Elephas maximus indicus: one gene and its partners. The protein of the gene in region 2 interacts with the protein of the main gene of each other region in a pairwise test. Links are inferred from orthologs where the notes say so. Each region holds a gene or a part of one and is shown on either strand. Other genes may lie near its edges.

Region 1 (7,649 bases), on a different chromosome or scaffold from region 2:
CACCACCAAATCATTTGTAAATCATCTTTTAGAGATCTATGGGAAGAGTCTATTTTTTGTAACTACTTATGATTTCCACCCAAACACTTCCTGGGTTAATATAAGTCCTTCATATAGAAACAGTGTTTAAGTTGCCAAGACCATCTGATGACAGTCATCCTCCTCCCTGGAAGGTAGACCATAAAGTCCACGCACACCTCCACCCCTACCATCAGCACTGTGTCACTGGAGTCCCAGCTCTAAGCATCATGCCCAATATTGGAAGGCTTAAGCCACTGTTCTCTCCCTCTTCCCCAGCTCTGAGTGCTCCCAACACCCCAGATGCAGCTGTCTCCCAGGCAGCCCTAGGTCAGCTTTTGGGGAGGTGTGGAGGAGGCCTGCTCATATTCAGGTTTCTCCTTGGATTCCTCTCTCCAAGTTTCCCTGAAGCCCCAAACTAGCCCATCCAACTTGCCTTGGGGCAAAGAGGGTATGTGGACAAAGGAGGAGTGGGTGGTTCGGGGATCCAGAGAACAGACAGCTCCTCTTTCCTCCCAGGAAGAAGGCTCTGGATAGCCCTGCCTTTGATGGAGAAATGGGTGTCCAGTAGGCCCAAAGACTGGACTTGTGTCCGGGCAGAAGCTACCATCTTGGCAACTGGCCAGGAGAGAGGACCAAGTCCAGGGAAAAGGCTGTTGAGAAGGGGATCCTTTCGTACTCTCACATCAGTTGGAATCCTACCCAGACATCATTTGAAAGTTCTCAGGGACCAGCCCTGCTCCAAAGAAAAGGCTGGAGAGAGGAGCAAGCCTTTTTCAACCTAATAACTCAGCAATAGGTAGTATTAGCAATAATCTAACCTGGTTCAGAGGTTAGGTAACACGCCCAAAGAACATGTAGCCAGTAGGTGGAGGAGTCAAAGCTGTAACCTAAGTCAGTAGTTTGGTTTGAAGGTTCTTGCTCCTTCCTATCTGGCAAAAGTGGGGATGCAAAAACCCATAGGCCTGGGGTGTTAGGCTGTGTGTGTGACCAGATCAGGAAGAGCAGTGGACAGAAGCTGGGAGCTTTCTGCTCTTTGACACCTGGAACACCCAATGGGACCATATGTTGATTTATCTTTCCACCCTATCAGACCTCAGGCCCCTTGAGGGCTGAGGACTGAGTTCTATGGTCTCTATATCCACAGCATGACAGATAACATGGCCTTGTTGTTAGCTATCCTGGCTCACAGAGACCCCATGCATAACACTGCCTGGTCCTGCACCATCCCTGCAATCTGTTATGGGTTAGACTGTTGTGATCCAGTGATCCATAAAGTTTTCATTGGTTGACTTTTGGAAGTAAATCTCCAGGTCTTTCTTCCTAGTCGGTCTTACTCTAGAAGCTCCATTGAAACCTGTTCAGTATCATAGCAACATGTAAGCCTCCACTGACAGATGGTGGTAGCTGCACATGAGGGGCATTTGTCGGGAATCAAACCCAGGCTTCCACATGGAAGGCAAGAATTCTACCACTGAACGGCCACTGCCTTAACCCACTGGGCTTTCCCAGAAAACCAGGAATAGTGATATTAAAGATGTTAAAACCTGATGAGCTTTCTAGCTTTCAAGAACCATCAAGTTCAAAACGTAATTTTAGAATTCTAGCCAACAGAGGAATTTGCATCTCCCTCCAAGTTTCCCCACCTTGACTATTTTTTGTTGTTGTTCACCAAATTGAATTCTCTCAAACAGCCCTGTTCAGGCTTTTGCTTCCTTTTCCCAGCCCAGGCCCATACCCTGTTTGGTGTCCAAAATCCAGTCCTGACCACAGACGTAGTATCATGACCTTGCTGGGTAACAGGGCTAAGAGCAGGCCCAGTTGTGCCCACGCCTCCCTCTGCTGGGTGCTAAGATAACCACCACTGATAGCATCCCAGGGAGCCTAGCTCTGTGTAACCAATGCTATTTTATATTTGCAATCTTAAGGATTCCTACTTATTGCAGCAAAGCCAATGGGAACCACTTGCAAGCAGGACAAAAGAAAACAGGCCCAGGGGTAGGTTGCTGTGTGTGGTGAAGTCAATTCTGACTCGTAGCCACACCTAATAGGACAGAACTGAACAGCACAGCTCCCTAAGGGTTTCCTAGGCTGTAATCTTTTGGGAAGCAGACTGCCACATCTTTCTCCTGCAGCGCAGATGGTGGATTCTACAACCACCTACCTTGTGGTTAGCAGCAGAGTGCTTAACCACTGCACCACCAGGGCCTCTTAGAAGGAGCAAAAGCAGTGTTTACCAGCAGCTGATAAGGCTTCTGGGAAGACACCAAGTTTAGTGGCCTGGGGGAGGCAGAATGCCCAAGTTTATCCCAGAATGGGGTCCAGCTCAGAGGCAGTGTCCCGGCCTTGGCCCTTGACCCTCCCTCTCAGGCTGAACTGCTTAAGGCCCGCAGCCCTGGCCCTTTATATGCCCAGGATGGGAAGAGTCTAGAGTCCAGGACCGGAAACAAGGTCAGCAGAGGGTCAAGGTCAGCCACCAGCTGCTGATCCAGCCCGCGCCGACCACCCCACACGCTAGCACCTAGGACGTTGCCTAGGTGCTAGGGTTTTGGGTACTACTCCCCAGTGCACGCCACCCAGAGGTGGGGCTGCCGTGGGCTCAGCAGGGCCCCCACGGGCTCCTCCGGGGGGGCTGCCCCACCTCCTCTCCTCCCCGGGGCGGGGGGGTACCTGACAGAGCGGACTCCCTGCAAGATCGCTTCCCGCCAGCCTCGGGAGAAGATGGCCCGGGCCCCCAGCGCCCTCGGGCTCCCCGCACACAGCCTCCCGAGGCGCAGCATCCCGGAGCAGACAGCCATGGCTCGCTTTGACCCAGTCCCAGGCCAAGTAAACTTTTAAAGTAAGCCGAGGCGGGGCTAGCTGGGAGCCGACGGGGAGGCGGGAAGGGTCGCCGCTGCCTATGGGGTGCGGAAGCCTTGGACTGGCGGGGCGGGGCGAGGCGAGGCGAGGGGGAGGTGGCCCCGCTCCGGGCCACCTTCCTTCGGACCCGCGGCCCTCCCCCTTCCACCCTCTGAGAACTGCTTTGGTTTCTGTCCAGGTCCCAAGGCCCGGGCGGCAGCCCCAGGCGGGTCTCGCCTCCCAACCACTGGGGCCTAGGTATTGTGGCGCAAGAGTTTGTGGATTTCTTAGAGGGGGAGCCGGGGAGCTCAAATGCGGGGCGGGGCGGCAAGGCCAAGACTGGTCCCGCGGCGGGTTTAGCGGGCGGGTCACGTGCTGGCTCCCGGAGTCGCGAGCCAGAGCCCAAAGGAGCCAGCATGGAACAATCCCAAGGCGTGCCAGCTGGAGCAGACGGCCGTGGGAGGAGGGGAGAGAAGGCCGCCGAGACAAAGGGTGCAGTGGGTGAGCTCCCTCCAGGCCCGCAGACGAGGGGCTGAGTCTTGGCTGAGGCCAAGCGTCAGTTTACGGAGGGACCCCTCTCGAACGAGGCAGCCTCGCATCCCTCCCACTGCGTCTCCACGGTCGGGTTGGGTTGACCTTACAAGAGAAGGTGGTATCAGAGACTGGGACCTGTCTGTCATGTTTTTCTGCTCACCTAGCTCGTCCCTAACACAGTCCCCGTACGATGCCATGTCGTAGGCGTTGGCTGGAAGGCTTCCCCCACAGACCCTTCTTACTCTCCTCCCACCCCTCCTTAGGGTCCTTAACACCTGGGCTGAGCTGCAACGGAAAGAAGGTCCAACTCTCGTCCTGGCTGAGGAAGGGGGTAGTGCCTGGCCAGCCAGAGTGGCACAGTTTATAAATGTGTCTTGGCGTAGCCTCTACTTTTCCTCCAGAGGAGCACGGGGAGAGAAATGAGGGAAAGGCCTGCAGGATGACCTCCCTTCACCTGACCTCGAGGCATGTTGTAAGCAGGGCCAGGCAGAGGTGACATTTGCCCTCTCTGGGAACTGTGGCTCCACTGAGGTCATGAGGAGTCCACTCTGCTTCTCTTCATGGTCCTCAGAGTGACCTCAAAAACTCCTGGAGTTCTGGCTCCTGGAGGGGTCCCCCACACTTCAAACTGGGGGTGGCAGGAGGGAAGACAAAGGAGCAGAGATTATGAGGACCTGGACTTGCAGAGACTTGCCTTTCTAATTAGAGTAGTGCTCTGCCTCTGATAGTCCAGCTGGGGAATGTGGGGCATGGAGAAGTCCCCAAGTCCTGGGTATTGCCCTTCCTGGCAGGCTCAGCCACTAGACTGCTGGGTGACCTTGGGTAAATCGCTGCCCCTTTCTGGGCTTGTGAATTGAGGAATGGATACTGATCTCGCAGGCCCTCCTCTTTGCTAGTTTGAGGTCAGTCCTGGAGAGAGTTCCTCCTTAAATCTTGCTCCAGCCTTGACTTTCCCAGACACTGGGCATTCCTAACTCTTCTGCCTCCAGAAGGTTCCTGAGGAGGCAGCAGTGATATGCCACCACCCATGGAATCACAACCACCAGTTAACAGGGCAGACACATATGCCAGGTTTCTTCATGGACATTATCTCCAGTCCTCACAGCAGCCTTGCAGGGACAGACACACCTTGGAACATGTCTCTGATTTTAGGAAGGAACTCAGTCCCAGAGAGGTGTAGTCACTTGCCCGAGGCCAAGCAGTGGGAACAGTGAGCAGGAGTACAAGCCAAGACTCTCCAACAGTCACTTTGTGGCTTTGGGCAAGTCAGCAGGTCTCTTCAGCGTGTAAAATGAAGATAATAATACCAACCTCACAAAAAGGGTTGGGGTAAGATTTGAGTGAGGTGACACTGACCTGTACTCAGCTAGCTGTCACTGATTATTTCTTTCTCCATTCTCTCCTTCCTCCCCGCCTACATTCTAAGGCCTTCCACTGGGCTGTTGTTGTTGTGTACCATCGAGTCAATTCCAACTCACAGTGACCCTATAGGACAGAGTAGAACTGCCCCATAGGGTTTCCAAGGCTGTAACCTGTATGGGAACAGATTGCCATGTCTTTCCTGCCACACAGAGGCTGGTGGGTTTGAACCGCTGACCTTTCGGTTAGCAGACAAGAGCTTAACCAGTGTGCACCCCGGGCTCCTTCTCCTCTGTACTAGGTATTGCAAACCTTTTTCAGGAGGAGGAATCATTTTCACTATCTGCAAAGCCTTGAGGGATCTGGTAGGCACTGGTTCCATGGAGGGGGAGGGGGGCAGGGAAAAAGGGAAGTGAAGCGAGCTGACCTGGGAATCACTGAGTCATGGTAGGGATCACATGGATCCATAATTCTAGGGTCCCTGGTAGGGAACGGGGAGCAGATCAGGTCAGCGATCCAGGCCCTCTAACTTTCTTCCCCCTCCTGTCTCACCAACCGCAGCTTAGGCCAACTACATCTGCTGTGTGCTGCACGTGGCCTGTGATTTTGCTCTGCCGTTGGCTACGTGGAAAAAGCCCCTTTGTTAGTCCCCTCCCTTTGCCAGTATCCTTCCCTTTGCCAGTACCCTTCCCTTCTGTGTGTCAAAAATGGGTTCAAAATGTAAACATCATTGATTTTTTAAATTCTTAGCATCAACCTATGAATAAAGTACACTTGCTCCCAGTTAGATAATAGAATGTAAATGATCCCTTGGACTGCTAAGGTTACGCTGGACAGTAGTTGAGAGGCAAGAGAGCAGCTAATTTCCTTACCTTACAAACTGAGGCATCAGAAGATCGGATGGGTGATGAATATGAAATAAAGTTACAAAGGCAATTACTATATGTATAAAAATAACATAAATCTGTGTCAGGAGGACGTGGGGAGTGAAGATGCGGGTGTAAATCCTTACAGGTCACACAGAAAAAGAAGAAATAGCAGAATAAGTACATTATTTAGAGGAAAATGGCAGCAGTTAAAATAGTTGAAATTCATTCCCTTTGGGACATGGGCCTGGGGGAGAGGGATGTAGGAGAGAACGATTGCTTTTTAGTAACGCTTTTTTTTTCTTATCTAATTTTCATAAGAGTGTGCATATTTACCTTAATAAAAAATTTTATTTACAAACCTGAGGGAAGTTTCCTAACTAGCATGATTGATCAATTGCAGGGAAAATCCTGTCCATCTCAGGAGTTTTTCACTGTACAGCAGTGAGCACAAAGGGGTTAGTGAGGTCTGAAGTCGGCCTTGGTATCAGAGCTGGGTAGAATCCCAGCTCTGGTGCTTTTTTTTTCTCAATGACCTTGACCAAATCTCTTTTTTTCTGTTGTAATTGGCAAGTTGCTTTCTCCCACTGGAGGTTTTGTGTTCTCCCACTGTGATTTGTCAAGATTGGTTGTACTAATGGCCCCAGCTCTTCATTCTTCCCTTTGCCATGGGACTTTGCAGTTCCTCTCACTAAAGAGGCATGGTCTATTTCTCTGCCCCTTGACGCTGAGTTCAGTCTGTGATTTGCTTTGGCTGATGGGATTTTAGTAGATCTGATGCTATGAGCAGGATAAGACTTGATGGCAACAGGTTTGGTTTTTTCAGTTCTTGATGCCTGCAGAGACTTGTGGGGAAAAAAAAGAAAAAAGATAACCCATTGCTGTCTAGTAGATTCCAAGCCATGGTGACCCCTTGTGTGTTAGAACAGAACTGTTCAGTGAGGTTTTCTTGGCATAATCTTCATGAAAACAGATCTACAGACCTTTCTTCCGTGATACTGCTGGGTGGGTTCGAACTGCCAACCTTTAGGTTAGTAAACAAACAAAAAAACCAAAACCAAACCCATTGCCATCGAGTCGATTCAGACTCATAGCGACCCTAAAGGACAGAGTAGAATCGCCCCATAGGGTTTCCAAGGAGCGCCTAATGGATTCAAACTGCCAACCTTTTGGCTAGTAGCCGTAGCTTTTAACCACTACACCACCAGCGTCTCCTTTAGGTTAGTAGACAAGCGCAAACCATTTGTGTCACCCAGAGATGCTGACTTGAGAAGACACCTGTGCGTTTCTACCTGTATTCTTGCTCTCTAGTCCCTAGGTATAAATGGTTAATGCGCTTAGCTACTAACAGGAAGTTTGGAACTTCAAGTCCACCCAGAGTCACCTTGTAGGAAAGGCCTGGTAATCTACTTCTAAAAAACCAGCCTTTGAAAACCCTGTGGAGCACAGATCTACCCCGGCCGCGAGTTGGAAGTGACTCCACAACAACTGTTTTCTTGCTCTCTCCTCTCACCATGAGAAAGATGTGCCCAGCATAGCCCACCTGTGCCAGGAGGAAGTAAGAGACACAAGGACCAGCGCCAAGTCATCCCAGCCAAGGCCCTCTAGATCAGCCAGCAGCCAGCCACCCCCACTCCCTCAGACGCAGGATTAAGCCTAGCAGAGATCAGCAAAACCACCAGCCTACCTGCTGTTGACTGCAGCCCAACACACAGTAAACGTTGTTGTATGCCATTGATAGTTTCTAGTTGTTCGTTATGCAACGTCATATCGGCAAAAACTAGCTGATACAAGCGCCTAACACAGTGCGTGGCACAGGGCAGACATCCAGTTAACTTTTACTTGGAGGATGAGGGGATGCCCCTCCCTAAGCCTTAGTTTCCCACCTCGATTGTTTCTGAAGATTAGAGAAAATTGTGAATGTAAATGACTGAGACATCAAGCATTCAAAAAGGTAAAAAATATTGTTAAAACTGACCCTTTTCTCCGAATATTTTATTATTAAAAATTCAAACCTACCGAAAAGTTAAAGGA
Region 2 (7,675 bases):
CCTCACACCACGTATAAAAACTAACTCAAAGTGTATCAAAGACCTAAATACAAAATCTAAAATGAGAAAGATCATGGAAGAAAAAAATAGGGACAATGCTAGGAGCCCTAATACATGGCATAAACAGAAAACAAACCATAACTAACAATGCACAAACACCAGAAGAGAAACTAGATAACTGGGAGCTCCTAAAAAATGAAACACTTCTGCTCATCAAAAGACTTCACCAAAAGAGTAATAAGACAACCTACAGACGGGGAAAAAAATTTTGGCTACAACATATCCGGTCAGGTTCTAATCTCTAAAACCTACAAGATACTGCAAAACCTCAACAACAAAAAGACAACTAAACCAATTAAAAAACCGGCACTTCTACAAAGAAGACATTCAGGCAGCTAACAGACACATGAGGAAATGCTCACAATCATTAGCCATTAGAGAAATGCAAATCAAAACTACAATTAGTTACCATCTCACCCCAACAAGGCTAGCATTAATCCAAAAAACACAAAATAATAAATGTTGGAGAGGTTGTGGAGAGACTAGAACACTTATACACTGCTGGTGGGAATGTAAAGTGGTACAGCCACTTTGGAAATAGATTTGGCACTTCCTTAAAAAGCTAGAAATAGAAGTACCATATGACCCAGCAATCCCACTCCTTGGAATATATCCCAGAGAAATAAGAGCCATCACATGAGTAGATATATGCACACTCATGTTCATTGCTGCACTGTTCACAATAACAAAAAGATAGAAACAACCTAGGTGTCCATCAACAGACAAATAAATAAATTATGGTACATTCACAAAACAGACTACTACGCAACAATAAAGAACAATGATGAATTCACGAAACATCTCACAACACGGATGAATCTGGAAGGCCTCACGCTGAGTGAACTTAGTCGCAAAAGGACAAATATTGTATCGAGACCACTATCATAAGAACTCAAAAAAAGGTTTCAACACAGAAGAAAACATTCTTTGATGGTTACGAGGGTGGGGAGGGAAGGAGATGGGTATTCACTAACTAGATAGTAGACAAGAATGATCTCAGGTGAAGGAAAGGAAAAACACACCACACAGGGGAAGTTAGCACAACTGGACTAAGCCAAAAGCTAAGAAGTTTCCTGAATACAACCAAACACTTCGAGGGACCAAGTAGCAGGGGCTGGGGTCTGGGGACAATGGTTTCGGGGGACATCTAGGTCACTGGGCATAACAAAGTTTATTAACAAAATGTTCTGCATCCCACTGCAGAGGGTGGCTTCTGGGGTCAAGTTACTTACCCTCTCTGAGCCAAAGTTTGCTCATCTGTCAAAAGTTTGCTCGGGAGGTTGTTGTGATTAAATAATTAATCCCGGCACACCACAGATACTCCATAAATGAGAGCTCTCTTCTTTCTTTTCAGTTCCTGCAGCACTGTCCCTCACCCGATTCTCCCATTTTTAGCAATTAGTTTGTGCAAATCTCTAATCAGAGGAAAGGCAGTCAGCAGGTGTATACCTTCTACATTAAACCCAACCCACCTGGAATAGCATAGGTGCTCAAAAGACTTGGGTACTGATACCAACAAACCTCAGATGGCCTCATGTGAATTTCTTCCCAGCTAAACTTTAAACCCAAGTCCGACCCCTTGTTCCAGGGATCTCTCCTCCCATCTGCTGATTGAAAAGAAAATCTGCACCCAGGTGAAATCACAGCACAGGCATGTCTAATCGAAACATAGATTATGAGTCGTTTTGGAATCAGCCACCCCTGGGTTCTTCTTGCACCAGGCACCACACCACGGGGTGCTAAATGGTTTGTCACTCCTGAGTAAAAGGGCATTCCTGGATATGGTCCCAAAGGAGGCTGCACCAAGACCTTAAATGGGCGGGTTTGGTCCAAGGTTCAGCCTTCCAGACCAAAGCTAAGGGCCCAGCCCCTCTGTCTGCAGGCAGAACCTAGACGAAGGCTGGAGGTGGGCGGGGAGAAAAAGAAGAACAGCCGCTGGCATCGTGACAACGCCGAAGACACAGGACAGGAAATGAAGACATCCCAGGAAGCCCCACAGTGTCTTCCAAAGTGCACAATGTGGGGTTTTTCTGCTCGCTTGAAATAAGAAAGCTAGACTTAATAATTCTGAAAACCACTTTCTGGCAACATCTGATTTTCTTAAATCTCCAAAACGAAAACCAAACCTGTTGCCTTCCAGTTGATTCTGACTCATGGCGGGCGACCCCATGTGTTACAGAGTAGAACTGCTCCATAAGGTTTTCTTGGCTGCAATCTTTACAGAAGTAGATCGCCAGGCCCTTCTTTTGCGGTGCTGCTGGTAATCCAGTTTAAGCCGCCCACCTTTAGGTTCACAGTCAGGGCAAACCATTTGCTCCACCCAGGGGCCTTTTCTTAACCTCACTGAGTGAATAAAGGAGGCTAGCAGGACCCAACTGGGGGCCCAAGTGAAAAGTGTGGTCTCAGCGTCTCCTTGGGGGAGATGTGGCCCAACCTCAAGCCCCTGCCGCAGGCGCTCAGTGGGCCCCTCCCCCCGCGCCTGCCTCCCTCCCCACAGGAATTCTGAGCGTGTAGGCCCTGCAATCCTCCGGGGCGGAGCTCCCAGCTGGAGGAGGCCGGCTCCGGGACCAGGCGGCCCTTCCGACCCTGGTCAGCCTCCAGTCCCCCCTCTGGATCCTCCCTGCTCGCTTTTTTCTGGATCCCTCCTCCCCGCTGAGGCCTACCTTCCCCACCTCCTTCTCACCTGGGGTGGTGTCCGTTCCCTCCTCCCCTTTCTCCCTGCCAAACTCTCCGTCCTCCCGCCTTTAAAATCCTTTATAGAAAGCAAACACCCAACACACTCCCAGATACCCGCCGCCCCGCCTGCCCGCGGCGTGGCCACCTCCGCCCCGTCCCGCCCGTCGTACCTTCAGGTTCACGGCGGGCAGCTCCATCCTGACCCAGGCCCAGTGCACCTGCGTTGCAGCGGTAGGAGCTCTTCGGCTCCGAAGTCTGGAAACAAACTTGCCCGGCCCCGCCCCGCCCGTTGTAGCAACTCCAACCCTATCCGCGCTCCCGGACCACGTGAGCGCGGCCCGGTTGCTAGGAGACGGCGTCGGTCTGTTCCGGTTGTCTTGTAGCCTCCTGGCTCCTGGACTGCCCAGGCAGTTCCTGGGGGCCCGCAGGCAGAATATCGGGGTTTCTTGAGCAAAGGGAGCGATGTCCTGCCTGGCTAATATGCCAGCAGGTGGTGACACCTGGGCTGATGAGACCACCTGCAGTCACGAGAACCTGGGGGGACTTCCAAGTGCAAACTGTGGATGTAGCGACAGCTGGTGTCTCAGTCCCTGGGGCACCCTCTCAACTTCCTCTTTCCCGGTGTTAAAATGGAGACATTTACAATACCTGCTAGCTTTGAGGAGCCCTGGTGGTGCGGTGGTTAAGAGCTCGGTTGCCAACCAAAAGGCCTCAGTTCAAATCCACCAACAGCTCCTTGGAAACCTTATGGGGCAGTTCTACTCTGTCCTGTAGGGTCGCTATGAGTCGGAATCGACCCAAAGGCAGTGGGTTTGGTTTTTGGTGTGAGTGCCAATGTAAAGTGCCCAGAAGAGTGCCTGGCACTTAGTAAATGGGCAGTACACACAGCTCCCTGGGTGGTGCAAATAGTTAAGCACCGAGCTACTAACCGAAAGGTCAGCTGTTCAAATCCACCCAGAGGCACCTCGGACGACAGGCCTGGTGATCTACTTTTAAAAACTCTATGCGATACAGTTCTAATGACACACATGTTTAATCTGAGCCTGTTAGTGTGTAATAAGACCGTGAGCAATGATCATCTCATAAGGAGAGAATGCAAAACAAACAATTTATGTGATTAGAGCTGACATTTATTAAGTACTTATTTTGTTGTAAAAAAAAAAAAACCTTCTGACTCATAGAGACCCTACAGGACAGGGTAGAACTGCCCCAGAGGGTTTCCAAGGAGCAGCTGGTGGATTCAAGCTGCTGACCTTCTGGTTAGCAGCCAAGCTCTTAACCAGGGCTGTGAAAAGCACTTCATAGTAAATGCTTGCAACAACCTCATGGTGTAGGTACTATTCTTATTTACAGTTAGGAAATTGGAGTTAAGAGATATTATGTGGCTTGCCAAAAGTCACTTCACTGGCTAGTACTACAAGTGGGTTGGGAACCCCGGAGGTCTGGCTTCAGAACCTGCACGTTTAACCTTGAGCTACACTGCTTGCATTGTCACAAAGACACAGACCAGGCTGAGTTGAAAAGGATGGAGCACAGTGAGGAGGGGAGGACAGGTTGGAGAGGGATGAAGGACAAGGCCGGGTCTGTGGCGGGTCCCTGCAGCTCACACACTGATACTGTATTCATTCCACTAGCTGAGGCCAGAAGCATGAGAGGCAGAGGGAGGGCCAGAGCGAGACCCAGCTGGCCAGAGCACTGAGGAAGAACAAAGGAGAATGAAACTCTCTGTATCCTCAAAGGATCCAGAGGTCCTGCCCTGCCCTGCTCCTGACTAGGAAGAACAAATGGATCCCCACAAAGGACATTCCACAAGGCTTCAGGTCATATTTTTAGTGAGCATACTTTGGAAAATTCAAGTTTAAATTTTTCATGTCCTTCACCAATCCTGTCTCAGCTCAAAAAGAAAAAAGGCACCTTGCACGCTCGACAAAGAACCAGACATATAATAGATTCATTCATTCATTCAATCATTCATTCAGTGCATAGTTATTAAACACCTACTAGGGTAAATTGCCCTGATGGCACAGTGGTTAAAAGCTTGGCTGCTAACCAAAAGATCAGCAGTTCAAATCTACCAGCCGCTCCTTGAAAAACCCGTAGGGCAATACTACACTGCCCTACAGGGTCACTATGAGTTGGAATCGACTTGACAGCAATGGGTTTGGTTTTTGTTTTGGGAGGGTAAATACCTAGGAGTGCTATGGCTGTATCATATGGCAGCCAAACTTTTTAAGAAACTGGCAAACTGTTTTCCAAGGTGGTTGTATTGCCTTATTTTATTCTCTTCTTAGCACTTATCAATATCTGAAGGATTGCCCTGTTAAATTATTTGTTTACTATTTATTGCCTGTCCCCCGACCTAGACTATAAGCTAGGAGGATGTTGCCTCCTCAGACCTTAGCCCAGTGGCTGGCATATAGTAGGTGCTCAGTGAATGAACAAATATACACCAACTCATAGACACTGTCATGGATTGAATTGTGTCCCACCAGAAATATCTGTCAACTTGGTTAGGCCATAATTCCCAGTATTGTACAGTTGTCCTCCATTTTGTGATTGTAATTTTATGTTAAGAGGATTAGGGTAGGATTGTAACACCACCCTTACTCAGGTCACCTCCCTGATCCAAAGGGAATTTCCCTGGGGTGTGGCCTGCACCACCTTTTATCTTTCAAGAGATAAAACGAAAGGGAAGCAAGCAGAGAGTTGGGGACCTCATACCACTAAGAAAGAAGCACTAGGAGCAGAGAGCATCCTTTGGACACGGGGTCCCTGCACCTGAGAAGCTCCTCGACCAGGGGAAGATTGAGGACAAGGACCTTCCTTCAGAGCCAACAGAGAGAGAGCCTTCCCCTGGAGCTGACATCCTGAATTTGGACTTGGAACCTACTAGACTGTGAGAAAATAAATTTCTCTTTGTTAAAACCATCCACTTGTGGTATTTCTGTTACGGCAGCACTAGATGACTAAGACAGACACCATATTTGTGTTATGGATTGAACTGGGTCCCCCAAAATGATATATTTAAGTTTTAACCCCTGGTACCTTCAAACTTGGCCTGGTTTGGAAATAGGGTCTTTGGAGATATTGTCTGTTAGGTTAACATGAAGTCATACTAGAGTAGAAAACTAAAACCAAACTCGTTGCTGTCGACTCGATTCTGACTCATAGCGAACCTATAGGACAGACTGTAACTGCCCCATGGGGCTTCCAGAGTGGCTGGTGGATTTGAACTGCCGACTTTTTGGTTAGCAGCCAAACAATTAACCACTGCACCACCACAGAACCATACTAGAATAGAGTGAGTCCTAATCCAATCTGACTGATGGCCCTGTGAAAGAGAGACAGAAAGAGGAAGGCTGGCCATGTGAAGATGTATCTGCAAGCCAAGGAATGCCGGCAGCTACTACGAGAAGCTGGGAGAGACAAGAAAGAGTCTTGCCCTGGAGCCTTCTGAGAGAACCCAGACCCAGTGCCATCGAGTCGATTCAGGGCCCTGTAAACAGCCTGAATTCAGACTCCTAGCCTCCAGAACTGTGAGACAATACATTTCTGTTGTGATACTTTGTTACAGCAGCCCTTGGAAGCTGATGCAGCAGGTCTTGTGAGGACAAGTCCAGGATAAATGCCTGTTGAATTGAAGAGGCAGGGGAAGGCCCACGTGTTGGGCAAAGTGGTGAGAAGACACCTGCATTACTTTTCTACAGGTGCTATAACAAATCACAAACTCCAAACCAAACCAAGCCTGTTGCTGTTCTGTCAATTCCGACTCATAGTGAACCCACAGGACAGAGTAGAATTGCCCCATAAGGTTTCCAAGACTGTAATTTTTATGGAAGCAGACTGCCACATCTTTCTCCTGCAGAACGGCTGGTGGGTTCAAACTGCCGACCTTTTGGTTAGCAGCTGAGGGCTTGACCACTTTACCATCAGGGCTTGTTCACCACAAACTGGGTGGCTTAAAACAACAGGAATTATTCCCTCACAGTTCCAGAGGCTCACAGTACAAAATCAAGGTGTCGGCAGGGTGGTGCCCCCTCTGAAGTCTTCTTCCAGCTTCTGGTAGATCCAGGCATTCCTTGGCTTGTGGCAGCGTCATTCTAATCTCTGCCTTTGTCTTTATGTGGCCTTTCCTGTGTCTGTGTCTCAAATTTCTCCCTGTCTTTCTCTTATAAAAACACTGTCACTGGATTTGGGGTCACTGTGGAGCCCTGGTAGCGCAGTGGTTAAGAGCTGGGCTGCTAACCAACGGGTCGGCAGTTTGAGTGCACCAGGCGCTCCTTGGAAACCATATGTGGCAGTTCTACCCTGTCCCATAGAGTCGCTATGAGTCAGAATCAACTCGATGGCAACAGTTTGGTTTTTGGTAGTTCAGTGCTAGAATTCTCACCTTCCATGCAGAATACCGGGTTCGATTCCCTAACCAATACACCTCATGCGCTCCCACCTATCAGTGGAGGCTTGTGTGTTGGTATGATGCTGAATAGGTTTTAAGGAAGCTTCCAGACTAAACCAGACTAGGAAAAAAGGCCTGGCTATATACTTCCAAAATCAGCCCATAAAAACCCTGTGGGTCACAGCGGGTTGGTCTGCAACCTATCATAGGGATGGGACAGGACCAGACAGTGCTTTGTTTCACTGCGCATGAGATTGCCACGTGTCAGGGGCTAACTCAATGGCAGCTAACAAAAACATTGGATTTAGGGCCCACCCTAAATCCAGGATGATCTCATCTCAAAATCCTTAACTTAATTATATCCCCAAAGATCTTTTTTCCAAATAAGTTCCCATTCATAGCTCCCAGTGGTTAGGACTTGGATGTATCTTTTAGGAGGGCTCTATTCAACCTATTACAACAGCCATATCCCATTTCCTACTAGCAGAGCCTGGGAGATCAGCCTCGGCATTCCAGCACACTGCGGAGGAATAGTGTTGCCCT
Region 3 (7,210 bases), on a different chromosome or scaffold from region 2:
TGAAGGTCATCTGGCAAAAACAATGGCCATTTAGTAACATTCACCACTTATGAAGCTGCTACTCTGTGCCAGGCACTAGATAAGACTATTTGCCTGTTATTTTATTCAGTCTTCATTACACCCCAGTGGGGTAGGTATTACTGTTATCCACATTTTTCAGATGAGGAAATAAAGGATTAAAAGGTTAAGAGATGTGTCCAAAGTCATAAAGCTAGGGAGCTCCTGATCCTTCCATGTTCCCTCCTTGGTCTTCATGATAGCTTCGTGATAATTTATCAACGAACCAATCAATTGATCAGGCAACTGATATTGATTGTACACCAGCTTCTAGGAGCAACTATGGGGCCTATTGGCTCAAATGGGGTTTACACACATGTTTAAAAAACTAGATCAAATAAAATGAGAGAATAAACTAAGAAGTAGGACAATTTAGAATCAAGAAAAAAAAAATGGCTCCAACCCATAAAAATGGCAGAGAGGAGTCTCAGGATTATAGCTTAGCAGTAGGCCTGGAGAACTATTTATACGGAATAGGATAGAGTGTTCCTCATGCGAGGGCTCTAGAGAAAAACGAGATGTGATAATAAATGACATTACAAGGGTAGGACAGTGCATATGAAAAGAATTAGGAGTATGTGTATAGAAAATAATTTAAGTGAGAAACCACAAGGCAATTACTAACTCAAGAGAAAACAAAAGACTGTACAGGAAAAGAAATATAATCACAGTACTACGACTTGGCTCTGCGATGAACAATATCTGCCTGGTTAGAGTGATGCAAACAAGGAATGCCAATTTAAATAAAACTGGTGCTATACTAGATCTGGTCATATAACTCACTAAGTGGCCTCAAGCCAGACACTTCAGTCTCTGGCCCTCATGTTCCCCAGCTGCGTCTCTGGCCCTCACTTTCCCCAGCTGCAAAATTAGAATGTGAGTCCTTTCTGCATCTTTGAAGGTTGCCTAAGCCTGACAAGGTTTGAAAGGCGGCCATTTGCAGGAGCTACCTCCTCTTATGAAGAATGTTTGTCAAAGTGCTGTTAATGTTTCCAGGAAATAAAAAAGAAAGCCAGATTCTTAAAGAGTCAGCATAAAAATGGGTGTAATTAAATACAAAGCTGGCTAGTAGCGGTAGGTTTAATTTGCAATGAATTGACAAAAATCAATAACAGAAAATTAAACAATCCAACAGAAGACTATGCTAAGAATATGAACAGAATATTTAAGCTAAAATTTGCAAATGGCTAGGAAACATGAAAAAATGATTCATAATTAGAGAAATGCAAGTTCAAATGAATTAAATCATATATCTAGCAGACCCTGGCAAGGTGGCGGGGGAAAAGGCACTCTCCCAGACTGTTGGAAGGTGTGTAACATAGGGAATAATTTGTCAACCTCTACCATAACTTAAAATGTGTACACCTTCTGAGGAAACCCTGGTGGTGTAGTGGTTAAGTGCTACAGCTGCTAACCAAAGAGTCGGCAGTTCAAATCCTCCAGGCGCTCCTTGGAAACTCTATGGGGCAGTTCTACTCTGTCCTATGAGTCGACAGCACTGGGTTTGGTTTTTTTGGTTACACCTTTTTGAACTTTCAGGACTTTGTGCATACATTGGCAAAAATGTACCAAGATACAATATGTAAAAAGATATTCATTGCAGCATTGCTTGTTTTTAGAAAAATAATAAGTGAATGAGCCAGGGACTGAATAGCCACCTCTCAGTAAACCACCTATAAAGGGCAGCCCCTGGTGGCAGCGTTTGGTAGTGCAGGCATAGTGTTTAGGAGGCAATTTCCTGGGTGCTAGTGTTTTTTTAATGTTTTAGGAATTTAAAAAAAAATTTTTTTTTTTTTTTTTAGTGATTTAGTGATTATCACTCTTGTTGACTCACCTTGAACTGAATTGTCAGCAGTCTTAAGTGTGTTGTCAACAGTCTCAAGTGTGTTGTCAACAGTCTCAAGTCCTTTGTCAAGAATAGGTTTCAAATTGTCCAAAACATTCGGGTCATTGCCAAAATTCCCAAGAAGGGACGCTGAGGTCCCAGTGAGCAGACCGCACAAGAGAGCAAGTTTCCAAAGCTGAAACATCTTTTATCCTGACACCTGGACAGTCATAGGAAGAAGAGGAGAGAGAATTACCCAGAGGGAAAAGGAATATTCAACGAGCAACAACCACTCTTGCACTTAAAGTCCCTTTGAGGTAGAAGTGGTTATCTCCTATCTTACAGATGGGCATTCAAGGTCAGAAAGCTAGAGCAACTTGTCCAGAGACACACAGCCAGTGAGTGGAAGAGCAAGGAGCTGAAAAGTCAGACCTGACTCCAAGTCTGTGCTCTTTACACAAAGGTCCTTTGCACATGCTGTTTTCTCTGCCTAAACCATCTTTCCTCTTCCTCACTTTTTTACCTAAGTCAAATTACCTAAATTAACTCAATTCCTCTGATTCTCCAGGCCTAAGCAAGACATTATGCCCTCCGTGAAGCCTATCCTAGGTCCCTCCCCAGAGTCTACATTTAGGGGACTCTGTCCCACCACCTTGGCTTCCTTCATTCTCTGATCAGAGTCCTGGGTTCCAAAAGCCTGACGACTTGTTTGCCTCTCCCACCAGGCTATGAACCCCTCGGAGGAGGGACTGTGACTTATTTTACTGTCAAATCCCCAGCCCCCAGTAGAATGCCTGCACTAAGCAGGTGTTCAATTAATATTTGTTGGATAAAAGAATGAACCAATCAATGCACACCACATCATGCCCTTGCATTGCTCAACAGTTTGACAATTCTCTTACTATAATCTATATATCTCTTAATTTGCTATATTCAAAATATTAGGTGATCCAAGTGGACCTATCTTTTTGCCTCTTTCCCCCAAAGCAAGGGGTGTGGGTGGGGGGTAAGCCCACCACTCACAGATTTGGAGGAGGATGCTCACAAAATCCTTGCTCTCCTGCGTGGTCTCCTAGGATTCTGCTGGGTGGCAGTGGCTCTTATATGGTGGCAATACGATGTGAGGCTGCTCACGGAAGCAAGGCCTAGTTCCGGGGCCATCCAAGGAAACTCCAAAGAAAATAACTCCTGTTCAGGAGACTTCCAACCCAAAGGTCACCCAGGATGCTTGAATTGAAATGGTTGAGTAGGGGGAGGATTTTCTGCCAAGACTAAGACAAGGACTTCAAGGGGCCTCTAGCTGCCAAGGGGTGGCCATTGTGAATGGGGGGCTGGGAGAGAGACTGAGAATAGACAAACTGGAGAATCCAGGTGGGAAGGCCCACAGAGATCATCCAGTCTAACTGTCATTTGGAAATTGCGGCTCAGAGAGAAGAAGCAACCAGCCCAAGGTAAGACAAGGTCAAAGATGGGACTAGAACGGCGGCCCAGTGAGAGTCAGGCTCGGCTGCCTGAGGGGTCATTCTGCCCAACCCTCTCTGGCATCTGAGTGGCTTCTACAACATCTTTCATGGGACTGAGCCTGCCTCGGTTCAAATGTTTGGGGTGATGGAGAGGTCACTGCCTGTTCTGTCTAGTTGGTAAAAAGTTCCTTCTAAGAGTGAACAAAGCCTGCCCCCATGCCACCAATGTGTATGGGCAGCAGTGAGGCCCAGAGGAGTTAAGTGCCTTGCCTGAGTCTGCACAGCCAGTGTCAGAAGACACAATACCAACAGCCTCCTTGTCCTTGGTCTCCCTCTGCCACACTTGCCACCATCCAGGCCACTGTCAAGCAGCGGGTTAAATCCAACATCCTTACCTGTGTCATCTGCCCCTGCTGCCTCTCCAAACTCATCCCCATCCCTCTCCCCCTTGATCTCATTGATCTTCTGTTCTAGAAAGATGGCAACCTCCTTTCTACCTTGGGCCTCTGCGTAGGCCATTCTCTCTGCCCAGAACCCTTCTGCCCAGCTGCCTCTATGTCACCTCCTGGAACGCCCTCCCTGACTGCCCACCTGGAATAGCATCTCCCCATTACCCTCAGTCTCAGCTCTTCCCTCCCTTCTTTCACAGTGTGATCACAATCGGAATTGATTGTACTTACGGTTTTCTGCTCTTAGCGAGTGATTCCCGCCCTGTGCTCCAGAGCTCTCCTCCATGCAGGTCTCCAAGACCCTGACCTGCCCCTAGCGTGCTCAGGGTCTCTCTGGGGCATCCCATAAGGCCAGCCACTGCCTGGGAAGGTGGTGAGATCCCCAGGACCAGAGATGTTCAGAAATGGGACTAAATAACTCCTACAATCCTGATGATTGGATATGATGGTGAGCCGTGATTCTAAATTCCCACAGCTCTATTGTTCAAAGAAGGTCCTGGGTAGCACAAATTGTTTGTGCTCAACTACTAACCTAAAGGTTGGTGGTTTGAACCCACTCAGTGGTCCTGTGGAAGAAGGGCCTGGCAACCTGCTTTCATAAAGATTATGGCCAAGAAAACCTTATGGTGCAGTTCTACTCTGTAACACATGGGGTCTCCATGAGTCAGAATTGACTTAACAGCAACAGATTTGGTTATTGTACGAAGACCGTTGTGCACATTTTTATGATTCTTCCCCTCAAGTTTTGTCTCCACTTAATTCCAGCCACCCCCACATAGAGATATTTTTCCCTCGGCCTTCCTGTCTCTTTCCTTTTCTCCCCCTCTGCACCCCCCAATACTTGAACTTCACCCTGGCACGGGCCCTTAGAGCCACGGTGACTGGTGCTGGAGGCTGGTTTTCAGCACAATCACACCCAAGACAAAGCCAGCCTTCTCCTGTGGCATCGGTCGCCTCTCACAGCTAAGCTCTGGTGTGACATTGAGCTAAAAGCTCTCAGTCCCCTGGGAGGGAGGCTGTAAAGCAGGCAGAGGCCCCATTCTCTCACATGTAGCTCAAAGGTTCTAGATTCTAAGGAGCCATTATTTAGGGTCACCCACTCCTCTGTTTTTTTTTTTTTTTTTTTTTTACTCCTCTGTAGCCTCACTGGCCCCAGGCCACATGGGGACAGGACTTTGCCATTCCTCTTCAAGATCCCTCCCCCTAAAGCACTGGGGGAACCTCCGAGTCTTAAATTTTCCAAAGTGGAGAGAAACCACGACCCCCTTCTTTGTGAAGTCCTCTAGGCTCTATTCCTGATGGTGTGTGTGTAGCTCTACAACAAGTACACATATTCTTACACATGTGTGCACCCACACGCATGCATGCGCACACACACACACACACAAGAACAAGACAGCACAAACTAGATCCATATGAAGAAAACAAACACACTTCTCTGCCTGCAATGAGAACTTTTTACCAAATTATGGGCACCATGTTAGCTTCCCCCCGTTCTGAATGAAAGAGCTCTTTCCCCTTACAGGAGGATATGGGTCTGCCTGGGTCTGATTTCTTTCCTTAGAGACTTTAGACATTAATACAATTTATCTGTCAAAATGCACCAGAAATTGGTGCCAATACTAAAGAAATGAGAAGACACGTCATTAGAGTTCCTGGATCTAGATGTTCCTGAAGCTATATACCCCTTTTCAATTCAAATAAAATTCCATCCTTCCCTCGTTTTTTTGTTATTGTGCGAGTCAGTGTGAGCTGGATTCCTGTCACTGAAACCCTCAGCAGCCCTGACTCATACGTTGATGGATTCAACATCGGCCCTCTCCTCTCTGACGGTTGCTCACGAGTCACGTGACCACGCTTGAACCATCATAGACACCAAGCTCAGAGGGGAGCATAGAGCTCATCCATTCAGCCTCCTCACTGGGGAGCCTGAGGAACCTATGGCCCAGAGAGGAAAAGGGACTCACTCAGGGCCACACTGTGACCTTGAACCCCACTTACTTTCTTCTTTTTGTTGCATATCTTTTAGTTTTGTTGGAATTTTCTGCTTGAGGCAAATCCCACTGCCATTGAATAGATCCTGACTCATGGTGACCCTGTAGGACAGAGTAGAACGGCTCCATAGGCTTTCCAAGGCTGTAAATCTTTATGGAAGTAGACTGCCACATCTTTCTCTTGCAGAATGGCTGGTGGGTTAGCCTTTTTAAAAGTAAAATGATGAAACAAAATTACCTAGGAAGCTTGTTTAAAATACAGATTCTTGAGTCACATCCCTAGATTATTTTGGTCAGGGAGTCTGAGGTGGAGCCCAAGAGTGGTCTGGTCTAGACTACTGGGAGTAGTCTGCTAGGACTGGGAACCACTGGGCTAGAGAGCTCAAAGGAGCCCTCCACCTCCAGCCTGTGAGCTGGGACCCCGTCACCTAGCTTCCAGTGCCCCAACTCAGCCTACACATCACACTCCTAACAGTACAGCTCATGTGCACTGCACTTTACAGTGTAGTCTGACCACCGTGTAGAAACACAGGCCCAGAAGAGCAGGCTGTTGGTGATAACAGCTGCCGTTTATTTGGTGCCTGCTGTATACCAGGGCTTTTCCTGCATCATCTTGTTTCATTCCCTTGCAGAGGGTGTACTTTTCTCATTTTCCAGATAAGGAAACCGAGGCCCAGAAGGGGAGAATGACTTGCTCAAGGCCACACAGATAAGAAGGGGCAGAGCTGGAAGCTGGACTCAGGTCTCTGCTGACACCAGATACTGATAGCGGCTGATCCAGTTTTCTGTCTCCCCAGGTCAACGGTGTGTCCATTCTTCTCCTGCTCCAGTGCCCAGGACCCAACACCCACTGGGGGAAGGAACATCCTGGCTGCTGCTGTGTGCGTGGCGCTGGGCTTGGCACTTTAGAGACATGCCCATCTTAGTCCTCCCAGCAACTCTGGGAGGCTGGCTTTGAGAGTCTCATTTTCCAGTTGAGGAAACTAAGGTTCAGAGAGGTGAAGTGGCTTGTGCTCACCTCACAAGAACAAAGAATGGGCATTTGGGCCCCCGGGGAGTTCTTTCCACCCCTGTCATGCTGAGGCTGGTGTGATAAGGGCTTGAATATCCTGTTTATCCCTCTGTCTCTGCTGTTTGAGTTGGTTGTAACCCCTGGTGCGTTGGGCCTGTGTCAACCCAGAACAGGGCACGGAAGTTCAGATGGGTGCCCACTTGGCATCGGGCTATGGAGGACTGGCCTACTGTCTCTACCCGCTCTGCTTGCCCACCTGCAGCTCAGCAAGGACCTGGTGGGGCCACAGCAGCACCTTGTAATAGTAGATGATCAGTGACTGTTTATTGAGTCGTTACATCACTATTATGATTATTAGAGACCTTGCTCTTCAATGACTTCCCCTCCAGGGGCAGTGACGTTGCTCTGTG
Region 4 (7,929 bases), on a different chromosome or scaffold from region 2:
GCGTGCAGCAGCGGGTTCCCATTGAGCACTAGCGTCTGCAGCTGCACCAGACGGCGCATCTGCGGAGGTAAGCTCTCCAGGCGGTTCTCGCTGAGGTCCAGGTACAGCAGGTCTGTGAGGTTGATGAAGAGCTGATTGGGGATGGTGTCGATGCTGCAGCCGGAGGGAGGGAGGAAGAGAGAGAGAGGGAGGCAGGCAGGGGCTGCCTGAGTTGGCCCGACATCCACATCCAGGCCCACCTGGCTGTTGCATTGTTGTGGCCTGGGCCTCCCTCCCCCACCCTGATCTCCCACCCAGTGCGACAAGCACCTGTTGTGGCTGAGATTCAGCACCAGCATGTTCTTGGCATTCTCCAGCTCCCGCGGGCACTCCGTCAGCTGGTTGTAGCTCAAGTCCTGGGTGGGAGGGGCAAGCCCTGGTGAGGGATGTTGGGGGCTGGGCCTACCCAGCCAGGTCTCTGCCAGGTCCTGGGAATCAGGAGGAGCACTGAGTGGGGAATGACTAAATTAAAGCGAGACAATGGGGACCCTGGATGAAGAGTGCTTGAGTTAGACATCTGTCTCCATGAGGGGCCTCTGGCAAGGCATTGCCCACTCTGAGCCTCAGTTTCCCCATCTATAAAAGGGGTTAGCAATGGTCCCTGGGGACTATAGATGGGGGGGTGGATGGGGACTGAAGGGTCAGGGCCTGAGGAGGGGCCAGGTGGATGGATAACCACTGACCAGGACTGAGAGGTCATCCAGCTTGAAGATGTCATCAGGTACTCCAGAATTCTTCAGGCTGTTGGCTCGAGCCACAATGGCCTGGGAATAAACCATGACTCCTGGCTTCTGCCCCCAGGAAGAAGCAAACAGGTCTCCTCCAGGAAGCCCACCAGAAGTCAGGCCTGAGTGCTCTCACACCTCTGAGCCTTTTGCTTATACAGTCCCTCCACCAGGTGGGCTCTTCCTAGCTTTCTGGTAAACTCCTATCACACCTGAAAGCCCAGCTCAAATGTGTCCCAGAGCCCAGCACAGGGACCACCCTGACTATCTCTCTCTCCCAGCTGAACTCCATCCAATCCCAGCTCTAATACTGCCTGTATATGCCACCTTGGGTGGGTGACTTGGTCTCCATGAGTAAGTCTCCTATCTGTGAAACAGGTTGTTGTTGTTGTTCTCAGGTGCTGCTGAGTCAATTTCAACTCAAAGTGACCCCATGTGACAAAACAGAACTGCCCGATAGGGTTTTCTAGGCTGTAATCTTTATGGGAGCAGGTTGTCAGGTCTATCTCTCAGAGCCACTGTGTCGGTTCAAACCACCAACTTTTTGGTTAGCAGCAGAGTGCTTAACTGTTACATCACCAAGGCTTCTTATAAATTAGGTAACAGCTAGGATTACATGAAAAAATCTACAAAGCAGAACAGTACTCGACCTGTGTTGACTATCACTGCTGTAGTTTTATTTGTTGCCCAAAGTAGATGCGGTTTTCAACTTTTTAACATTTTCCCCATGGAATTTTAATTCACGTGGTTTACTTTACACAGGGCATCGTTTTGTCTTCTTCCCTTTACACGTATGTACGGGGGTCGCACAGATGCTGGCCCGGCCTGAGGTCTGATCCTGCCCTCCCTCTTCTGGCAGGACGCCACCCCACCCCAAGGCTGGTGGCCTCCCTGCCCGCACTCACCCGCAGCGATGGCAGGCTGGACAGCTCCCCGTGAAGCGTGGTCAGGTTGTTGTGGCTCACAGACAAGTGCTCCTGGGGCCGGTCAGAATAGCAGGAGCTTAGTGGGATGGGTGGGATGGCTAGAGGATCCTCATCCACCACCATAACCTTGTTCCATCCAGAAGGGCCTTCTGCTACGTAGGCCCAGTCCACCTCTGCTGTTTCCCTCCCTCATAGGCCCGATTTCTTCTTGCACAGCTCCTGGGACAGGGTACTCACTCCCTCTCTGCCAGCTCTGATAATAGCTGTCAGAATGGTCTTTCTCTGTGTCGGCTGCTCTCGGCATAGCCTCTGCTTGCCTGGTCCAGTCTCATCCCCACAGACCCTCCCTGTCCACCTGGAGCTCCTTACCAGCTTCTGCAAGGCAGCCAGCTCCTCCGGCAGGTAGCAGAGGCCAGTGCGGTTCAGCTTCAGCCATCGCAGGCTGGTCATAGCCTTGACATTCTCAGGGAAGTAGCCACCCTGAGGTGGGACAATATCATGGTGGGGTGGGCTGGGAGAAGGGAGCACCCCTTCTGGTGCCTCAGTTCCACCACCCTCTGCGGCTCCCACTGCTCAAGGGAGCCTCTGGGGACCAACAGAGCCACCTCTCGCCAGCTGTGCAATCTTGGACAAGTCACTTCGCCACTCTTGTGTGTTGATTTCCTTACCCATCAAATGGAGCTAATAAAAGCCTCCATGTGACAAGTGTTCTGAGGAGGGACTAATTATTAGGTTGGCCCCAAATCTAGCTCTCCCACTAGACTCTGAGGCCTGGGAGGGCCAGGAGAGAACAGGCTTGTTGCAGGTGACAGCCCCAGCACCCAGCCCAGGGCCTGGTCAGCATATGTACCAGCTTTGTGTCAGCATGGGCTAAATTCCTTCGCCAGCATTCCAGGCCTGGCTGCAAGGCCCTGTCTATGCCTCCAATGCCATCAACCCCCAGGTCCAATTCCCACTGTGCCAGGGCCCAACTCCACATCCCACACAGGCTCATTCATTCATTCATTGGTTTATTCACTCCCCCAACACAAAGTGGAGGGATCTGGGGTGGCTGGTGTGCCCCTCAGCATTCCTGGCCCTGTGACAGGGTTGTGGCAGTACATGCCTTCATTGCCCATTGCTGGCATCTCCTTCCCACTAGGACCACATTCTCTGCTGGTGACTCAGAGAGGAGACCCCTGGTGAGAAGGGTGGAGATGGGGACAGAAAGTAGTGGGGTGGCCACCTGTGCACCAGGTAGGATAAACACAGGAGGAGCCTGCCTCCTTGGCCTCAGCTCTGGCTGACTCCTGACCCCAGCCAAAGCCTGGGCCAGGAATCTTGCAGCCCCAGGCCAGCTCGAACCTGTGCTGACCTCCTGCCACCGTTTCTCTCTGGGCACAGACTCTCTAGAATCACCTCCTCTTCCCCACAACTGGCTGGGGTTCCTTGATCCCCTCCTCTACCATTCCAGCAGCTGCTCACTGAGGCCCCACCCCCCGGGGGGGCGACAGATCAGACAACCCCACCCAGGACCTGGCACACCTGCCTGACACTCTCCATACCCGTTAATCCTCACGACCTTCCCAGGCCTCTGAGAGTTGTGCTGTTAAGTCCCCCGTCTGGATGGGCGGCTCTAAGAGGGGAAGCGACTTTCCCAAGACCACACAGGATGGGGTGGCAGTGGCGGGGACAAAGCAGTGACGGCGGGCTCCAGCCCCGCCCCGGGCAGCCCGGGCGTGAGTCAGGGCCTTACTTGGGTGTGTGGCCTCAGAAGGGCGGGGGTGGAAGCTGGGGAGGTGGCTGGGCGGGGCCCAGACCCGGAATGGGGCCCGAGGAGGGGCTCCTAGATGGATCCCCCTTCTCTCAGCCTCAGGCCCTGGAGTGACTCCGGACGTGAGCGTCGCCCGCCCCTCCCGGTCTCGGCGTGCCCGGCCGGGCCCGCGCGGAGGCCTGGGGTCGGGCTCTGGCAGGGCGCAGGGAGCCCCATCCCGGCCACAGGCGGGTCCGCGGCGGGCGGGCAGGAAGCGCGGGCCGGCGGGCCGAGCGCGGCAGGCGGCGCAGGGGCCCACCGCGGCTCACCTTGAAGTCGTTGCCGCTGAGGTCCACGCCTCGCACGAACGGCAGCACCCCAGTGGCCTCCATGGCGCCGCAGTCGCAGCGGTCGGCAGCGCAGAGGGCGGACCGGGCGGATGGAGGGCGGACCTATAGCTGTGCCGGGCGGGCCCCGCCCCCTTAACCCGCCGGCGCCTGCCGGAAAACCGTGCCGGGCCCTCGGCGGGAGCGCTGACAACCTTGGTGGGGCCGGAGGGGAGGGTGTCAGGGCCCCGCAGGGCCAGGCACTGACCCCCGTGCTGCTGCAGTGACCCTGGGAGACAGACAGTCTGGACCCAGGCCTGGGGGCGCTAGGCCCGGCATGGCCGACGGGGTTACTAAGTCTCGCCCTCGGGTGTAGAGCTCTGGGCAGGCCCCAAGGCCTGCTTCCGGCTTCAGATTCCTCATCTATAAAACGCTTCCCCAGCAAATCCACGCGTAGCTCCCCGCATACAGCAGGGCTCAATAAGTGGCGCGTCATTACTGCTCCTTCTGATACTCAACACCCACCTCGCTGGTCATTTATTTGCTTACTCGCCCCACCCCCACGCCCAACGCAGGCTCCAGAAGGGAGGCTTCCATCTTTGTCCATCTAGTTCACGAGGTCTCACAAATAAAAGCCGAGAGATTTCACAGCTGTTATTGGGAGAGTCCCGTGTTCCCATTTCACAGAAGAGAAAACTGAGGCCCAGGTGAAGAAACGGCCTATGTGAGTTCACACAGGGCAGGTGGCAGGGATGTGCTGTCTTGCCACACTGTGCCTGGTGGGCCAACAGGTAATGTCCATGAGGTCATCAAGGCCCACTCCAAGGGCGACCTAAGGAGATCATATGAAAGGGGGTCTGGCTGCAGCCTACGGGCCAGGCCCAGAACGAACGCGGCCCGGATGGCTTTCTCCACACCGGATGCTCCCAGCGCAAGCAAAAACCGCGTCACTACGGACCTCCACGGTGGCTGCGCCGCACAGGAACACTGCTACTTCACCTCCCTGCGCGTGCTCGAAATGCAGTCCTGTACCTTTAAAGGACAACTGCGTTCGCTATGTCCCGCCCCCAGGGAGCGCGTCAGCGGCAAGGGGGCGTGGCAGGCTCGCTATTGGCTGAGCCGTTCAGTATTTTGGACCGTGAGCTGGAGCGCCGCGCACTCTGATTGGAGATACGGCCTGCTTTTCTGTGTGGCCCTGGAGGTGTTACAGTTTCCCGGGGTCTCGGCGTTCGGTGCCGGCTCCTCCAGGTTCCATCCTGAGCGGGGCGGGGCTCCGGGGCTTAGCGGTCCCTCTGCGCCCTCCGCTGCGTGTGCTGAAGCCGCGAAGCAGGTATGGCCGGAGCGCGGCGGACTGCCCGCTCACCCAGTCGGGTGTGGCCTCTGCTGGGACGCGGTCGGGGGCGTGGTCTGCGCGCATAGTAGGGAGCTGAGAAGGGCTCCGGCCAGAGTTCGAGTCTAGGTTCTGCCCTTACTCGAGGCTTTGCACCTTCCCAGGACCTCAGTTCCCCCAGGAGTCAGCGGGGCCGTAACTCAGGCGGCGGTGTCCCGAGCGCTGCCAGGGCCCGGCCGCAAAGAGTGGGGTCTTCCTCCCGGAGTTGAAAGGCTGCGGGTTGGAGCTGCGGGACTCCACCAGGGGCTAAGCTGACTTCCATTTTGACGGGTGGGAGAATTTAAAGCGCTTTGCAGAGTGGATTCCTGGCCCCCGTGTCACTGGCAGGCCTGTGACCTCCCCAGGCCCCAGAGCTCGCTTGTTCTCCCTATTTTTAGCTGGGGCTGTTGGGCAGGTGTCTGGGGCTGAGTCATGCCTGCTTTGGGCTTCAGCTGCTCCAGGCATCTTCTCACCCTGTGACCAAGCCCCAGGCACCCGCAGCAGGGCAGGGACGGCAGAAGTCCGTGGTGGCAGAGTTGGCTGTGACTCAGGGTCATCTGCCCCCTCCTCCTCAGACTGTTCTAACGGGACCCATCTTGCTTCTAAGCTTGCACCTTGGTCACCACCCCCCATCTGCTCTCCGGTTGGTGGGTAGGGCCTGAGGGCAGAAGTCCGCCTCCTACAACCTGAGACCATGGTGGGCCGCCCGGGAGAAACCTCTGTCTTCTCCTCCCACTTCCCCAGTACGCAGTCACACTTCCAGGTCTCTCACTTCTCCTTCCTTGCCCTGCTTGTGCCCTTTGACAGTTAAGGAGACAGGCAGGGCCCTCAGGCCGTGATCTTTCTTTGTTGTTTGGCTTCTGCAGCTCCCCATCCCTCTTGTCCCAAGCCTGAGAGGCCAGGAGAGCCCTCTGTCTGGAGAAATTAGGCCAGTCCTCTGGGGGCTTCACATTTGGAGCTGCCTCAGTTTCTGCCTCCTGGAAGCGGGGCCTTCAGACTTGACCTGCACTTGCCCGTTTGCAGGCAGGACTCTGCCAGCCTGGGCCATTTCACTGTCTACCAGGGGCTGCCCTGCCAAGATCTGGGAGTTTAACTGTGGCCCCTGAGCTTCACGGATGTCTCCACCCAAGGTCTGGGAGTCTCAGACCTGGGACCTCAAGTCACTGGTCTTCTCTGGGCCTCAGTACACAGAGTGGATTGGAGATCGGAGAGCTGCTGTGCTGGCCCCACTTGGGAACCTCGGGAAGAGGCAGCCTCAGACTGGCCATCTGGAGGGAGGACTGATCCGACTCTGGGGTGGTTAGGAGGCTGAAGGCTTTGCTGGTGTGGGTCCATGTCCACATCCCCCACTGTGTGTGTAAGTCAGGGTGGCCATGACAACTACTCTCCTCACAGGTGTTTGGTAGTGTCCTGGGAGGTGGGTGGGTGGAGGATGGGCCTCCTCTGACCTGCCACAGGCCTGAGGGTCTCTCTGTGATCTCTCCTTTACAGAGGGCGGGTTGTTTGCAGGTTTTGGGGAGGGGGCTTGGGCAGCTCCCCCATCTCCTCCCGAGAAACTATGCGAATGGCTTTTCTCCTGAGAAATTCCCAGGAAGCTCTCCTCGTGGGCTCGACTCAGCAACCTGGCCTAGTGGCTGCCATTCCCTGCCCCTCCTGCCCAGGTGAGCCTGGCTTCCCACTCCTACAGGCTGACCATGGCGGAGTTCTCTCAGAAGCGAGGGAAGCGACAAGATGATGCTGTGCTGGGCAGTGCCGTGGACTTCCTGCTGGCCAATGCCCGCCTGGTGTTGGGCGTGGGCGCGGCTGCTGCGCTGGGCATTGCCACTCTGGCTGTGAAGCGGGTAAGGGTGGCAGGGTCACCCTTGGGCTCACAGGAATATACAGGGCTGTGCAGGGCCTGGGGCCTGGGCACCTCCCCTTCCCCTTCACGACCTGGTTTGCTGTGTCCCTGGGCTTGCTGTGTCCCTGGGCTTGCTGTGCCCTTGGGCTTTGTTCACCTGCAACTGCCCAGGCCTCAGATGCTCTGATGTGTTGCTCTGCCTGCAGCTCATTGACAAAGCCACCAGCCCAAGGGACGAGGAGGATGAAACCAAGGGCAATACCACTTGCCTGGAGGATGGCTGGAAGGAGCTGAGCCTGCTCAAGGCCATGCCGCGTCCCCAGCCCCAGCCCCCACCTGCTGCCCTGAGCCAGCCTGTGTCCACCCCAGCCCTCTCACCCACTGTCCCAGGTGAGTGGCACCCACCTGACATGGGTGGGCCCCGCTCTGGTCGCCACATCTGGGAGATGCAGCATGAACAGGGTCCTTGAGTTCAGCCCAGGCTCCACCACTGACTCCTGTGCCACCCCAGGCAAGTGGCTACCCCTCTCCCCAGCATAGAAGGGGTCGTTTTTCTCTTCCCACTTGTTGGTACCAGAGTGAGGCAGCAGTGTTATGGTGGGGGCATGGGAACCTGGGGGAAGCCTCAGATGGAGAAACCAAGGCCCAGAGAGGGCAGGACTTGTCCAAGGGAGAGGCCAGAGCCCAAACTCCCTGATTTTGCAGGAAGATGTCTTAACTATAGGGCAAAGGTGTTCGGAGCTGGGAACAATGAGAGCTTGTTATCGAGCACTCACTAGACATGAGGGCCTTGCTGTTGTCCCCACTTCACAGGTGAGCAAAATGAGGCCGAGGTGTCATGCAGCTAGCGACTGGGTGGAGGCCCCTTTACACATCTGCCCCATCGAGGCTGTGCTGATACATTTCCCTGACCCCTTGGCTCTGCAGAGGGGCCTGGAGACAGTGGTTCCCGAACGCCACCTCAGCACAGCT

Evidence for each region.
Region 1: the proteins of AGTRAP (region 2) and ACSF2 interact in binary tests that used the Homo sapiens proteins (3 or more experiments, as listed by UniProt). The two-hybrid records come from large-scale screens. The link is inferred for Elephas maximus indicus from reciprocal best matches to the Homo sapiens genes AGTRAP and ACSF2.
Region 3: the proteins of AGTRAP (region 2) and BPIFA2 interact in binary tests that used the Homo sapiens proteins (3 or more experiments, as listed by UniProt). The two-hybrid records come from large-scale screens. The link is inferred for Elephas maximus indicus from reciprocal best matches to the Homo sapiens genes AGTRAP and BPIFA2.
Region 4: the proteins of AGTRAP (region 2) and MIEF2 interact in binary tests that used the Homo sapiens proteins (3 or more experiments, as listed by UniProt). The two-hybrid records come from large-scale screens. The link is inferred for Elephas maximus indicus from reciprocal best matches to the Homo sapiens genes AGTRAP and MIEF2.

Annotation. Positions count from the first base shown.
Region 1 is NC_064837.1:43,248,260-43,255,908, forward strand, and holds the start of ACSF2 (medium-chain acyl-CoA ligase ACSF2, mitochondrial), read right to left. Parts: upstream 3,017-7,649; 5' UTR 2,817-3,016; coding exon 2,689-2,816; intron 1-2,688. UniProt on the Homo sapiens protein: Acyl-CoA synthases catalyze the initial reaction in fatty acid metabolism, by forming a thioester with CoA. Has some preference toward medium-chain substrates. Plays a role in adipocyte differentiation.
Region 2 is NC_064821.1:51,594,370-51,602,044, reverse strand, and holds the start of AGTRAP (type-1 angiotensin II receptor-associated protein), read right to left. Parts: upstream 3,009-7,675; 5' UTR 2,934-3,008; coding exon 2,907-2,933; intron 1-2,906. UniProt on the Homo sapiens protein: Appears to be a negative regulator of type-1 angiotensin II receptor-mediated signaling by regulating receptor internalization as well as mechanism of receptor desensitization such as phosphorylation.
Region 3 is NC_064843.1:36,398,614-36,405,823, forward strand, and holds the start of BPIFA2 (BPI fold-containing family A member 2), read right to left. Parts: upstream 3,008-7,210; 5' UTR 2,906-3,007; intron 2,103-2,905; 5' UTR 2,088-2,102; coding exon 1,892-2,087; intron 11-1,891; coding exon 1-10. UniProt on the Homo sapiens protein: Has strong antibacterial activity against P.aeruginosa.
Region 4 is NC_064820.1:214,090,841-214,098,769, reverse strand, and holds the start of MIEF2 (mitochondrial dynamics protein MID49), read left to right. Parts: upstream 1-4,918; 5' UTR 4,919-5,078; intron 5,079-5,087; exon of another isoform or gene 5,088-6,180; 5' UTR 6,181-6,450; coding exon 6,451-6,474; intron 6,475-6,608; exon of another isoform or gene 6,609-6,778; coding exon 6,779-6,958; intron 6,959-7,163; coding exon 7,164-7,347; intron 7,348-7,884; coding exon 7,885-7,929. Other genes in the region: FLII (protein flightless-1 homolog), read right to left, coding at 1-153, 310-395, 723-803, 1,670-1,741, 2,060-2,170, 3,752-3,814. UniProt on the Homo sapiens protein: Mitochondrial outer membrane protein involved in the regulation of mitochondrial organization.